2 linked regions of the Xenopus tropicalis genome follow. Each later gene encodes a partner of the first gene's protein in a complex. Links are inferred from orthologs where the notes say so. Each region holds a gene or a part of one and is shown on either strand. Other genes may lie near its edges.

Region 1 (4,278 bases):
ACAATTTCATATCAATAAGAAAAGGGTCTGATGAGTAAGATAACTAATAACAGAGTCAATCAAAAGCCTGCCTTATAGTAAATTGATGAAAATATCAATTTAAAGGTTATGCTTTAGTTTAAATGGAATCCTGGGGGGGCAACATATGGGGGGGGTTCCTGATTAAAGGGGAGCTACACCCAAAAAAAACGTTTAAATGTAATTTTATGCAACTTTCTACTATAAATTCATTAAGCAAACATGCACGTTGATTGTAACTGTAATTGCCACTAGAAGCAGTACCTGCCTGGCTGTTTATATCCTCTGCACTGCAGGTTCAGACTCCGGAAACAATGTAGTCACTTAACAGACCAGACTACTGCTTTCAGAACCACTGAAAATGCTTCACCGGAAAGTTACTTTAATTAAGTTACATTAATCGCTATTTTCTTGAGTGGCGCATTAGAAAGGGCTAGGGCAGAACTGTAAGCTCTTTGGGGCAATGGCCCGAGTTCTGACTGGTGCGGCCACGTGTGTATAAACTGTGCCACTCAGTACACTTGTGGCCCCATGTAAATACATATGTACATACACAGGAACCCCGACACAGGTGTTTCACCCAATGCCCTTTAGGGAGCACTCCGGCTGCTATAAAGTTACAACTCCCAGCACCACTAACAACCTGTAGTAGGCTGCTGGGAGTTTTACACCAACAGCAGCTGGAGAGCCATATACACAGGATGAGTGATCATTTTAGAGTGAAATGTATCCTTTTTTTCAATTTAAAGATAAGCCATTCAGTGGTTAATTCACAGAACGGGCCACTGCACTTGATTGTAAGCTCCTAGGGACAGGGATGTATATGAGAAACAAATGCAATTATGCATTTCTCCTTTCTAGTTAAAAGTCTACTATGAGAAGGAAGGAAATACAGATACAACACAAGAGAAGCTAAAGGGGAACTAAAGGGTAGGTGCAATAAAATGCAGCAAGTGTATATTGTCACATTTTGGGGACGCTGATGCTGATTGTTAAATCCCCAAACAAAATATGATTAGTGGGAGAAATAAAGCCGAAAAATGAAGAAATTCTGCATATATGATATAGATACTATAGCTACTGCCACCCCCGTACACACAGACTACTGTATAATCATCCTTCTCATGAAACTTTCCCCAAAGCTGGGTTTGAATTAACCCTTTCCCTGACACACTCACCGACTAAGAGCAGAGTGAGCTGCATTAAAATCCGATAGTGACACAGAGGCGCCCGAAATGCACTGATTAATCCTAAAAAGGGTGCCTGTCTCCCAGAACCTATTTGGGTGAAGACACACAGGGCTACTAGTAGCAGCTACTTGTCGCGGCTACTAAAATAGACAATGCTGATCATTTACTGATAACTGTCTCTACGTGTGTTTTAGCAGAGGCAATTCTCAGTATTGTCTATGGCAGGGGATTTTCTGGAGTTTAGTAGCCATGAAAAAGTAGCTGCTACTAGTAGCCCAGTGTGTCTTCACCCTAATAAAATAGACAATGCTGATCATTTACTGATAACTGTTTCTGTGTGTGTTTTATTTATTAACATTTTGGAAGAGGCAATTCTCAGTATTGTCTATGGCAGGAGATTTTCTGGAGTTTAGTAGCCGTGAAAAAGTAGCTGCTACTAGTATCTCAGTGTGTCTTCACCCTTTATGTGCAGCCCCAGACATACAGCACAATGTATGAATTAAGCAGAGATGCACTTACACACCTAGAGGTGCAAGAATAAAGTTGCACTTAAAGCCATAGAACCAGTAAAAGAGGTGGGTATGGGCGCTCCCATAGTGTTGTACAGGTTGGAGATCATATAAAGTGAATTCACTTAATGGGGTGCGCTACAAATTGGGTTCCGATATGGATATAGATTGTAAGCTCTACGGGGCAGGGACCTCCATCCTCTTGTGTCTTTGACTCTTAACTTATTGCAACTGTATCTTGAATTTATCTGTATTTATTGTTATACTTTGTATTTATCTATTATCATCTTTAAACTGTTTGTATTAATGCATTCTGCTGCGTACATAAGTAGATATAATACACTAAAGGCGCGTAATGGCAGGGGCGCCGCGTAGGTTGCGCGTATTACCAGAAGTTGCGCAGGGGCTGGAGCGATCGCTAGGCAGCAGGTACCCACCTGGAGCTGACTGGAGCACCCATACTGTATGAGAGGGGTAAAGGTGGTGAGTTGGAGCTCGGCATCTGCTTGCAATTCGTGTCCCACCAGGTTGGGCATTTTGGTGACATTGTAGCCAAGGTTCTGGCACATTGAGATCCTGATGGGGTCGCAGCGCCGCTCCTCTTCATCCCCAAAGCCAGCGATGTGCCCCACAAGGCAGCCCAGGAGGGGCAAACACAAGGCTAAAGCTCTTACTCCCATTATTCAAGGTGTCCCCCCCCCCCAACTCAGTACCAGATCCAAGGGTTCCGACTCCCCAGCTCCCGACCCTGCGACTCCACTGATGGGAAAACCAGACGGGAACAAAAAAAATCGCAGAAGAGAGGAAAAATGTAAATCTCTGAACTTTGTCTGGAACTTTCCCCAAATCCTTTGTCATCCAATAGGGGGGAAAGATAGATGGTGCTACTATCCCGGTGCCAACAACTTGTATGTTCCAATGGGTTCCGCAGCTGTTAGCGCACAAACTGCGCCGCCTGGGTAGCTCCCCTGCACCGTGTAGGTGGACCAGGCTGCGCTGTAGATGTAGGTAGGTCGGGCTGTACTATTCAGGTGGGTAGGGGGGTGCACTATGCAGGTAGGTCAGGCTGCACTGTTACATTCCCTGGGTGCAATGCTCATTGGCAGAGAGCGCAGTTAGACAGCAGCAGCCTCTCCACCTCTAGACCTCTGTCTGCCTCTCTCTCCCCTGCTCCTGCCTGTACTAATGAGGGGAGGAGGCTGGGGAGTGGGTTAGGCACAGAGGGGGAGGATGGTGGGGGCTGCCTTCTCCCAGGGTACGGTATCCAGAGAGGTTCAGTTCAGCCAGGTTCTCAAGTTTCCTCCAGTTTCTTCCCTTCACTCAGCAGTCTGGCTTTTAACCCTCTGTGTGCCTGCCTGGCTTGCAGAGTAGCTAGGGAAAGGGCACCCCTGCAGGCTCTTCTTGCCCTGAAGGGGTTAACGCTGACTGTCTCTGTTTAGTGCTAACTTTCAGGCTGGTATCAGAGCCAGCATCCAGGCTATAATTTTGGGGATTTGGCTGTGGAGTGGAGACTTGATTTCCCCTGCTGAGTTTGGCAGAGTCTGGCTGGGGACTTGTGCTCTGATAGCGCAAATAAACTCCATAATCACAGAAAAATGTGTGAGGGGAAGGACACATGCGTAAAGGGGGGGGGTCGGCGTCTCGGGAAATGTGCAATAAAAATGTATTTAAACATACAAAGTTGGTGGATATGATGGTTCTGTGCAATCCCGCCTTGTTCTGCTGAAACCCAAAGCTGCTCCAGTACTCCTATTGACGAGCAACCGCCTTGGTGCGAAAAGTACCGGAGCCCACACATGGTCCGAAAATTGTACGTAAGTAGGTTTTGTACAATTTAGTCTACTAAAAACATTTAAACAATAATTAAACACAATAGGACTGTTCTGCCCCCAATAAGGGGTAATTATATCTTAGTTGGGATCAAGTACAGGTACTGTTTTATTATTACAGAGAAAAGGGAGTCATTTAACCATTAAATAAACCCAATAGGGCTGTTCTGCCCCCAATAAGGGGTAATTATATCTTAGTTGGGATCAAGTACAGGTACTGTTTTATTATTACAGAGAAAAGGGAATCATTTAACCATTAAATAAACCCAATAGGACTGTTCTGCCCCAATAAGGGGTAATTATATCTTAGTTGGGATCAAGTATAGGTACTGTTTTATTATTACAGAGATCCCTTGCCTGTAGAAGTTGCATGATTGATAAGAGAAAGGGAAATTGACCTTTAAATAATCATTTCGACAATCAGAATGGAGATAGATTTCAAGGAAGGACAATCATTTTTTTAAAATATTATTTTATTTATTCTTAATTCCAGGGTCAGTTTTAGGGTCAGAAAACAAAGTAATTTGCCCAGGGCCCCCCACAATCGCAGGGGACTCCTTTATAGGTAAAGAATATTAAAACGACAAAGGACAGATTCTGTTGTGTAACAGTGGCTAGGTGTAGTCCAAGCCTGCAGCTGCACCTCCTATTGGCAGTTATGGGATTAGAGAGCTGTAGTACAACAACGGTTTAGGCATTGCAGGTTGAACATCCTTGAGTGATATAGTTCTA
Region 2 (2,635 bases), about 110 Mb from region 1:
TACGCCAAATTTTTCCACAGTGAAATTTGTTTGAAATTCGCCACAAATCCATGCCTGGCAAATTATTTCACCCATTGCTACTCACAAGCTACTGGATGGGGATCACTGATTTAGACACAGCAGTTTAGCCCTGAAATACCTACGTTAGTATAATGTGTGGCTTAACATCTAAAGGGCTATCTGAGACCAGTGGTACATAGCATAATGTGTCTTTGGCTAATGACAAAGAGAAAACAACCAGCTCCTAAAATACTCAGGACTCGCACAGTCCTCTTCCTCCTCCAGTAGCCAGCTTCCAGCTTTACAGGAATACTGATGCGTTTTTAAAACACATCAGTTAATAGAGCTTCTCACACTTTACTGCTGAGCTGCAAGCAGCCAATCAGCAGAACAATGGGAAGGTAACAAGAAAGCAGTTACCTGGCAGTCATGTCATTTTCTGGTAAATGGCTGGTGAATACTATAGCTCAGAGCTGTTCTGTAAGAAGCAAGGTATTACTTACTGCCAACTGCTAATATCTTGAAAATAAAAAAATAACACTTTTGCAATTATAATAAAGAAATTTGATTCAAAAGTGACATGAAATGTAATACTATAATAAAATATGAAATGCATGCCCAATGATTGGATATAGCATTAAAGAAAACATGTCTATAGATTTAAATAATATATTTTATTATTCTGTTGTCAGCCCATCATTCTACACTTATATCAATGGTGATGAACAGACCTTGCCTTTAGTTTGCACTATTCCATCATGTACTACAAGACAATATTAAAACAGGGAATGGAATAAACAATATCTTCTGAGAGTTCCATGTCTGTGTTTTAGCTGGTAGCAGAAAGACACAAAATATTGTTTTTCATCTTCTTATACAGAGCGAAATGTATAAAGTCTGATGCTTTAAAATACGTAAATTATATATATATAAAAAAATGATAAAAAATAAACAACAGATATTCATTCCTCATAACCAAATGGCAGGCATCTGCAGATTTCCTTTTAGAGTCTCCACAAAACTGTAATCAACGCATAAAAAATATATTACAAATATTCTGTGAACTGTCTTCAGACCTTGACTTGTTGTCTTTATGTCTCTATGAATTGCACTCTTCACAGTGACAAGAAAGTATGTAACGATACGTGGCAGTCATCCTTCTGCCCCCAGAACAACGCAAGCGAATTGCTTTTAGCTTAGAAGTCTGAGGCCGGCAGCAATGACAGGTGGAGCGAAATGGCTGCTTCAATACTGTACTGAAGGAAACAAGTGGATCTGAGCGAGAAGTCTGGCTGCAGCGTCCTTCACAGCGAGCTAGCAGTACCATCTATAGGAAAGCAGAAGAACAATACATATTAAGCAAAGGCACCACATGCACAAATAAAATTCTGTCATGATTTTTATGATGTATTTTTATTACTTAATTACACTGTGTACACTACAAATAATTCATTCTACCATTTAATATGTCATTCTTTAACCAAAAACCAAATGTTTTTAGCTGTAATATTGGTGTGTAGGTGGAATCACAGTGCATTGTGCCTGATTCTGGGCTTTTAGAGGGAGCCAGGGCTACACATTAGAACTGCTTTCAGATAACCTATTGTAGCTCAGTCAACTGGGTGAGTCGGGCTTGGATTTTTACTATTGGGTGCTGCTATCATATCTGCCACTAGGTGGGGCATAGAAGCATTTTTTAGCAATACAGGTATAAGGGAGCTGTTATCTTCATACTTTCCCTTTGTTCAGCTTGGGGAACGGCAGGGGCAGTGATATCACTCCAACTTACAGTGCAGCAGTAGAGATTGACTGAAGTTTATAAGAAAATAAGTCAAATGGCTGAGGGCACCTGGGAAACTATGAATATGTCTAGCCCCATGCCAAAATTTTATATAAATAACCTGCTTGCCCTGCTCCAATAATTGCCCTATTCTTCCCAGCGCTTATTATTCTGAACTCTTTATTAGAAAATACCTTGTAAAACATTGCATCCCGTCACTTCAAATACGGTGATCCAAAGAGATGCAGAATCCACTATGCGACGATCGACATCTCCTCCTAGCCTTCCTTCTGTACAGGCAAACAATTGACTTCGGACTTCCAGAGTCGGGCTAGGAGGAGATGTCGATCGTCACATAGTGGATTCTGCATCTCTTTGGATCGCCGTATCGCTGTATTTGAAGTGATGGGATGCAACGTTTTACAAGGTATTTTCTAATAAAGAATTCAGAATAATAAGCACTGAGAAGGATAGGGCAATTATTGGAGCAGGGTAGAATTGATTTTTACTTAAAAAATTTTATTGTTACTTTTTCTTAAAGTCCCTGAAAAGCACCTATGAAACATGGTTAACATTTAATATAGTTGCATTATTTGTCTGCTGTATGAGCACCTTGGAGCGATACTCTTCCTGTTTTTTTTTTTTCGCACGGGTGCGCACGTGCAGTTAAAAGACGAACTTTAACAAAAAAGCTGGCTTTTTTACTTTACCCCACGTGCGTTGGCCCTGAAGAAAGGAGGGAGCAGAAGAACAGGATATCACTGTTGTGCTCACCACAATAAACCCCACTTCAGGGCACTTTTCTGCTAAAAGAAGCCCTGGGCCAGGGTGTTAGGTAAGTGATTACAATCACTG

Evidence for each region.
Region 2: the proteins of fzd4 (region 1) and ndp are in contact, whole or in part, in a crystal structure (PDB 5BQE), measured with the Homo sapiens proteins. The link is inferred for Xenopus tropicalis from reciprocal best matches to the Homo sapiens genes FZD4 and NDP. Residues at the interface, in NP_036325.2 of Homo sapiens: Ser51, Met52, Gln54, Asn55, Leu56, Gly57, Gln95, Phe96, Met105, Thr107, Lys109, Ile114, Asn152, His154, Met157, Cys158, Met159, Glu160, Gly161, Pro162; in NP_000257.1 of Homo sapiens: Asp33, Ser34, Pro36, Arg38, Met40, Arg41, His42, His43, Tyr44, Val45, Asp46, Lys58, Met59, Val60, Leu61, Lys102, Lys104, Leu106, Tyr122, Leu124, Ser125.

The regions. Positions count from the first base shown.
Region 1 is NC_030678.2:168,413,858-168,418,135, reverse strand, and holds the start of fzd4 (frizzled-4), read right to left. Parts: upstream 2,920-4,278; 5' UTR 2,398-2,919; coding exon 2,155-2,397; intron 1-2,154. UniProt on the Homo sapiens protein: Receptor for Wnt proteins.
Region 2 is NC_030678.2:56,030,388-56,033,022, reverse strand, and holds the end of ndp (norrin), read right to left. Parts: intron 1,328-2,635; coding exon 1,100-1,327; 3' UTR 656-1,099; downstream 1-655. UniProt on the Homo sapiens protein: Activates the canonical Wnt signaling pathway through FZD4 and LRP5 coreceptor.